2 linked regions of the Bombyx mori genome follow. The protein of the gene in region 1 purifies or fractionates together with the protein of each later gene. This does not show direct contact. Links are inferred from orthologs where the notes say so. Each region holds a gene or a part of one and is shown in the gene's direction. Other genes may lie near its edges.

Region 1 (4,288 bases):
AGGTCTCTTTCCCAGGCCACAAAATCCAAATTCTTCCAAAAAGAAAAAGCATTAGACCTGCGCCTGTATGCTCTAATACTATGATTTCCTTGCACGTTTATAACACCGGTCACTCACATGCGCACGAATACGCAAACCCGCAAGTGTAGGACGACATTTGCAAATGATTATGCAAAGTTTTCGCTACATTCGTGGTTTTCCAAGCTGTGTCGGTTTTTTAACAGACATCAAAGCGCGCGAACCGCGAGCCTTCGCGTAGTCTCCCACACATTCGTTTGCCCAGTTGCGCCGACGATTACGAAGGTAACGGACGTATCGTCATTTTCATAGTTCGTGACGTCTACTGTGTAACGTATCTTCATCAAAAGAAATCCCATAAAAACAGCATGGCTGTTAATGATGTCTGGGAAAGAATTCAAAACTCTTTTTCTCTTCAATGTCTATTGACGAATTAAAAAGGAGGAGAAATTCGTGAGACATTCGTAAACAAGTGTAGGAGGAAGCGCAAACGGGTTCGCGAATTGACTACCGAACCCATTTGCACAGCTGCTAAGTTTGCGAATGAATGTTTGACGGCCCTTCACATGCATAATAATATGTAGATTTATAAGATAGTTGTATGTAGTGTTGGACGGTGAAATTTGAGGGGATTGGGTTCTGTAGGTTGATGAGGGGCTATTTAAAAACACTCTGCTTCATGGTTAATATAATTATATTGCAAACACTTTGTACACTATAACATTATTACAATGTTTTATTTTTTATAAAACTCTTAGATGTTGCTCTGACCGTGTCTAGATGAGAAGTCGTTGTCTTCACTGACGAGAACACAATTATTTATTTTAGACTTTTAAAATAATTCCAATATTCGAAACTGTAACCTTACATGTGTCAACTGTTGCCGGCCATTACTTTCATATTCAAACTCCAACATGTAGTATGTACTAATAAGACAGAGGACTTTTTAGCAGGAATGCGAGGAGTGAAGTTGTGTGAATTGTTTTATTCTGTATATTTAGTGTTTCTTCAGGTTTAAATGTGGTAGTGTGTGATTAATCGTGGCTTATTAACTGTTTAGTATCTGTAAAAGTACACAAATATGGGAAAATAAAACAAAGTCGCTGGACGTAGCTTCTCGGGATCTTCCAAAAAGTCCACAAAAAAGTCTCAGTAAACAATCAACTTTTTACTGAGATTATATTTCACCCCATACTATCTCATCTCATTTAATTTCATTTCATGTCAAGTGATTAACGTTCCAAATTAATCAAATTCATTTAATTTCACTTCATATTATCATTATTCAAAAAATATATATCAAAAGCGTAGGCTGTATAGTAAGATACCTGTGCCTGTCCGGTTGGAAAAATAGAACAACTACTCAAAAATCAGTCAGTCCATAGATTATACACTTAATATAAGTCAGTCTAAATTAAAAACAATCGATCGAACTAAAGTGAGTAAATCTGTAGTTCAAAAATATGCAAAAATATGAGAAACTTGAAAAAATCGGTGAAGGAACCTATGGTACGGTATTTAAAGCCAAGAATAAAGAAACACACGAAATCGTAGCGCTCAAACGTGTTAGATTAGACGACGACGATGAAGGAGTACCATCTTCCGCTCTTCGTGAAATATGTCTTCTCAAAGAATTAAAGCATAAAAATATAGTGCGACTTTACGATGTATTGCACAGCGAAAAGAAATTAACCCTAGTGTTTGAACATTGTGATCAAGACTTAAAAAAATACTTCGATAGTTTGAATGGAGAAATAGATCTAGATGTTGTGAAATCATTCATGTATCAATTACTTCGAGGACTAGCTTTTTGTCACAGCCACAACGTTCTCCATAGGGACTTGAAGCCACAGAATCTCTTAATAAACAAGAACGGTGAATTAAAGTTAGCTGATTTTGGTCTGGCCAGAGCTTTTGGCATACCAGTAAAGTGCTATTCCGCTGAAGTTGTAACCTTATGGTACCGGCCTCCTGATGTATTATTTGGTGCTAAGTTGTACACAACAAGCATTGATATGTGGTCTGCTGGATGTATATTTGCAGAACTTGCAAATTCGGGCAGACCGCTATTCCCAGGTTCAGATGTTGATGATCAATTAAAGAGGATTTTTAAGCTTTTAGGTGAGTTCATCATAATAAATCTCCAAAGTTTTATTACTCTATTCTGAATTTAGGAAGCCTAATTATGATTTTATATTGAAAACCACATAAGGGCTCTTGGTGACAATAAAAAGTCATATCACAAAACTGGTTTAGATCTTAAATTAAATTTGAATGGCCGAGTCTCTGAGCTTAATACCAACATTAACTGCATATAATTATGCAAAAGTAAGAACTATGATTATGTCTGATTGATGCCTTATTTAAAGGATCGGACAGATTATAACAATATGTAAAATAAATTTATTGAATTTTAACTCTCCCAACAAACTAGAGAGTAGGCTTACAATATACCATATCACCATTGCTACTTTATTCTGTTGGGGGCTTAGTAAACAGCTGTCTGATAATTCCACACATACTATTTTCTAGTCAACCCCCTATTAGATTGCAGATTCTGCATAAAAAAGTTAGAAACAATCTATGGGTTGGCATAAAGATTACCGGCCTGACAAAAGTTGTTAGCCTAGTCCTCCAAGTACAAAATAATATAAGAATGTTAATCCCAACACTCACGGTCGAACAATGTCATTAAGTAGGAATAGTGTTTCCTTTCCTATAACTTATTGTAATTGATGAACACTTCGGCATTTAAATAATAAATCATTTTTTTTACTAAAATAGTCAATCATGACATCATGTACCATATTAAACTAAAAAATACATATTATACCATTAAAGTTTGAACATGTGAGTCGTCTATTATCAAAGGTGGCAATCTGTACATTTGGACAAATTTTTTTTATTGATATGTCAATACAGATTTATTTGAATATAATCGTCTCCTTCAAAGAATACGGTTCAAAACCTGCATTAAATAAAGGTTAATAGTTAACCTGTTATTTATCTAAGATGTCGTTCCGAAGAGTTTTGTGACTGCCAATGGAATACAAAGTCAATAATTCGTTTTTCTGATTTACCAATCATTGTCAAAAAGTCAGATTGCCGCCTTTGATAATAGTCGACTCATGTTTCAAATTTTGTGTTGTTATTTAATTTTTTTGCTGAGTCATATTGCAGACCCCTTCTATATATATATCATAAATACTTTAATTAGCAAATGAATATAATTTTCTGCCATCATAAGATTTCTTCTTCTGCATTTCAGAAACTTACGGTAAACATAGTATTTATAAAAATGCCTACAGAGTGTACTGAAGTGTTACAAAATAATAGTTAACTTTTACATATTTTTAGTAAAAATATATAGATTTGTCTAGGAAAATTACATCAAAGCTCTTGCATTGTAAATATTGTGCCATTTGCAAAGACTTATTCATTGACATACAAATAGGAAGTGTGTCACTGGTATTGTATGGGTGTATTAATCTGTCAGTTATCCTTTTTCAATCAAACTATGTTTACTTATCAGGTACACCCAATGAGGACACATGGCCTGGAGTAACTCAACTGCCGGACTACAAACCTTTGCCTGTTTATCAGCCAAGTTTAGGCCTCGCCCAAGTTGTACCAAGATTGCCGGCTAGAGGTCGAGATCTACTCGCTCGGCTGCTCACCTGCAATCCAGCTTTAAGAATGCCAGCTGATGATGCAATGGCGCATGCGTATTTCCACGATCTCAATCCGTCAGTCAAGAATGATCGATGTTAACAATCAATCCATCCGTACAAATGTACGTCAGAACTTATTTATTGTGAAAAGAACTATGATGAAATAGAAGAGTGTTGTGAGGATGAGACTTAATTAGATTTTAAGAAAAGTACTGCCAAATACTGTATTTTTACCAAGTAATTTTAAATACCATAATATTGGGAATTGTTATGTTTCAAATTATATTGATAAGGTTCCAGTATTTGGCTACTAGTGATATTTTTAATCGATTTTATAATTATTACTGAAATGTCCTAAATTAAAATGAAGTTAACTTTATGAACAAATGGTTTACAAATGGACTTTAATAATGTGTAATATGAAAGATGAAATGATGAATTAAAAAGTAAAAACATATAAATATTAAGTATAATATTGATGCGTAAAACATAAATGCACTTTGAAACAAAACAAAATTGATTGTTAAAATGAAACTTATTTATATTTAGCAATGAAAATGTAGAGTCAGATAGCTGACTACATATTTAAAAAACTCACT
Region 2 (3,658 bases), on another chromosome or scaffold:
CATTATAAACTAATTTTTATAGTTATTTATAGTTTATGCATAATATTTTTATACTGTTTCTACTAATTTATTATATGTCTTGCATGCCGCTATGCCCTACCATTAGTTGCAAAACAAGTGGCGTAACCAACCCTTGACGAATTATTGTAAAGGAGTAAGTACAAAAAGTGAAAGTTTTTTAGACGGTCCAATATAATATTTATCCTTTTGACTCACTTGCCTAAATAAATATACCATTTAGTTATTATTGTTTTGATTGAACTAAACTTTTAATCGACAAAGTTTTAATTGGTTATAATTCAATCGAGGGTTATTTCAGAGTTGTATTGAAAAAAAAAAGCTATAAATTTTACTTTAAAAATGCTTTCAAAAATGATTGTATTTGCTTACTTTGGTAAAATTTAGCTAGGCCTATGCTTGGCGATTTGCTTGTAATGAACTCAGAAATAAGAATAATTTTAAGATAGACTATTAAATATTGCTATATAATATATAATACGTAACGTGGGACGCCCCCTGGCTAGGTGGTGCGATGACCTCCCAACAGTGACCGGCAGAAGTGGATCAGGAGAGCCGAAGACCGGGCTCTGTGGTGTAGATTGGGAGAGGTCTATGTCCATCAGTGGACGGCTGTGGGCTGATGATGATGATGATAATGATGATGTAGAGAGAGGCCTCGCGCTCATCATATACCTAGGGGGTCTTGTGAATTAAAATATTCGTTTGTGTCTTAGATGACGCGGGAATCGGATCTGTCACTGTTCACATTAATAACGACGTCGCGTCACTTCATGACGTGCCTGTGGAACTGCACCCAGTTCTGGATATGTAGCGTTTGTTTCATAGCCCTGTTACAGGTTAGTGTGTGTTTGTACTTCTAGACTAACTAGATCAACTTCTGTGTTCGACTAAATACTTTATAGAAGTGTCTTGAGCTTTATGTAATGTGTATTATATGTAATGTGATTTGTCGCAACAAGTATTGGTAGTCAAAAAAAATTATAATTACAGTAATCCCCCCTATAACGCAGTACCTTTATAACGCGTTTTCATGTTATGCCATTTCTATCCCCCATGTATTTTTTTATTACTTAGATGGATGGACGAGCTCACAGCCCACCTGGTGTTAAGTGGTTACTGGAGTGCAGAGACATCTACAACGTAAATGCGCTTGAGATATGAGTTCTAAGGTCTCAGTACAGTTACAACAGCTGCCCCACTCTTCAAACCGAAACGCATTACCGAGACGCATGCTTCACGGCAAAAATAGGCAGGGTGGTGGTACCTGCCCGCGCTGACTCACAAGAGGTCCTACCGCCAGTAAACTCAGAGAATAGATGGTATTTAGACAGGTTCCCTGTGCGGGTTCTTGCCGCTGGCGCTGAGCGTGGGTGGCGCGGCGTGGTGCGGGCTCGTGTCGGTGCCGCACGTGGCGGGCGCGCTCGCCCTTGCCCCCCCGCACCCCGCGCTCTCCCAGCGCGCCGCCACCAGGCCAGACCATCAGCTGAACCTCAAGGTACCGCACAACGCAACTAAATACCCGCCAGCACGTATGTGGTATGGTGATGGATTGTCGCATTCCATCTTGCGCTAATCTTTTATTTATTTATTGCTTAGATGAGTGGACGAGCTAAGAGGTTACCGGGGCCCAGAGACATCTACAACGTAAATGCGCCACCCACCTTGAGATATAAGTTCTAAGGTCTCGGTATAGTTCCAACGGCTGCCCCGCCCTTCACGGCCGAAATAGGCGGGGTGATGGTACCTACCCGTGCGGACTCCACCACCACTAGTTTTATGCAGTTGGAACGTTTGGATACGTTTGCCGCTAGGGGCGCTGTTCCAATTCCATACAAATTTGGGTTAACTTTTACGCTATCGAGAACGTTAAAAAACTCGCACTAAGCACACAGAGCTCGGAACTCGTCTCGCTTGTGAACACACCTAGCGCAGCAGAGCCCCACTCCGGCGACTGGATACGGCTTCAGTACACGACACGTTGTCTCGCCGCTGTCGACAGATGGCGGTGTTCGTGTTCTGGTGCTACGCGTGCAAGTTCGTGCCGGCCGCCGTCTCCATCCTCGTGCTGTACGGGCTGACGCTGCGCAGCTTCTGCGAGCAGATCGCGGCCGCCACCAACGCGACGTCGTGCTGGATCGTGTACCCGGTGAACGTGGGCGCGTTCCCGCCCAGCCACGACCTCACCGCGAGGAGCTGGCACGGCTGGGGCGACGACTTCTACGACGGATTCTATTTGACCCAACATATCGTGCTCGCTTTGATAACTTTGCATTTAAGTGAGTGGTTTTTTTAAGTGAAACTTCTTTAGAATCGTTGTGATTTCAAACTAGATGAAACGAAAAAATAAGTCCATAGAGACACAAACACATAAATGTATAGGATTCCGCCGGCGAGAGAATGAGATAGAACACATTAGACGTTCCGCCTCTTCGTAGCATCCCCACTATCGTCTACTAAACATTGTCCATATGTATGCTCCTGTGTAGTGGGATTGTCAGTATATCTATATCTTATTTATAATTTTCACTTCTACCGTGTGTGACTTGCACACACACACACGCGCTTTTTCTTTTCTTTCTTCTTTCTTTCAAATAGCGGTCCTAAACCTAAACCTCAAGGGTTTCACTTCATTAATCTTCACCGGAGTCACGCAACTTTTTCTAACGCAATTAATAAATGGCATTTAATAGTGTGAGGTACATTGTAGAATAAGGACATCGTTAGTACGATGAATATGTTTTTTTTGTCCTCCAAAATGTTGATTATAAACGTGTTTTTGATTAATAAAATCTCTTATTTTATCCGAAACTCGAGTTCGTGTTTTGAATATTATAATCTCTACAATATCGTGTTCGTTTGCAGTTGTGATCTCATTATCATTCGTCCATCGCTACTCGTCGATATGGCAACGTGGCTTCTGGACCAATCGGGCGTGGACCATCACTGTTGTCGTTCTGTGAGTTATATTCCAATACTTAATTAATTCAATACAATGTCAACGAGTCGTCGTGGCCTAAAGCTAGCTTGAGAGGGTATGTCAGCGTTTTTTTTTTAAACCTAACAAGTAGGTGACAAGCGTAACCTAACAAGTAGGTGAACTCACGGGGCTCAAATCTGACGACGTTGCTAACACGAACTCTAGCAAGAGCCGTGCTTCGCAGAATCTACCACCGGATCAGAAATGCGATCCATTGAGAAGATCTGTGTCTGAGGGTTCATTTACTCGTCGAGCCCTTCACCGCAAGCGACAGGTTCGACGAGAACGATGACCGGTCCAAATGTTGTTGTTCGGAACTTGTATATATGCAAGGCTTTTTTTTAATTTAAACGGCCGTCTGGTGTAGTGGTAAGTGACATGGTCACTACATAAGGGGGTCGCGGGTTCGAATCCCGCCAAGGGAAGATATTTGTATGATAAATATAAATGTATTTTCCAGGGTTATGGATGTATATTAAATATATGTATGTGTATAATAAAAATCTTACATTTATTTCCGTTATCTGGTACCTGTAACACAAGTTCTTTACGAACTTATCACGAGACCAGTTAACGTGGCGTGATTGTTAGTAAATATTTATTTATTTATTTATTTAATGGCTCGAGTCTCTTCTTTCACGAATGACTTTGCCAATGTCA

What was found. Proteins that work in one complex are often made in the same cells at the same time.
Region 2: the proteins of cyclin dependent kinase 5 (region 1) and transmembrane protein 94 purify together in Homo sapiens (affinity purification with mass spectrometry; 5 studies listed by BioGRID and IntAct, with this or other methods). This does not show direct contact. The link is inferred for Bombyx mori from reciprocal best matches to the Homo sapiens genes CDK5 and TMEM94.

What each region holds. Positions count from the first base shown.
Region 1 is NC_085125.1:9,569,076-9,573,363, reverse strand, and holds cyclin dependent kinase 5, read left to right. Parts: upstream 1-1,471; 5' UTR 1,472-1,481; coding exon 1,482-2,139; intron 2,140-3,550; coding exon 3,551-3,789; 3' UTR 3,790-3,833; downstream 3,834-4,288. UniProt on the Homo sapiens protein: Proline-directed serine/threonine-protein kinase essential for neuronal cell cycle arrest and differentiation and may be involved in apoptotic cell death in neuronal diseases by triggering abortive cell cycle re-entry. Interacts with D1 and D3-type G1 cyclins.
Region 2 is NC_085123.1:3,043,093-3,046,750, forward strand, and holds part of transmembrane protein 94, read left to right. Parts: intron 1-734; coding exon 735-857; intron 858-1,348; coding exon 1,349-1,516; intron 1,517-2,020; coding exon 2,021-2,297; intron 2,298-2,883; coding exon 2,884-2,977; intron 2,978-3,658. UniProt on the Homo sapiens protein: Could function in the uptake of Mg(2+) from the cytosol into the endoplasmic reticulum and regulate intracellular Mg(2+) homeostasis.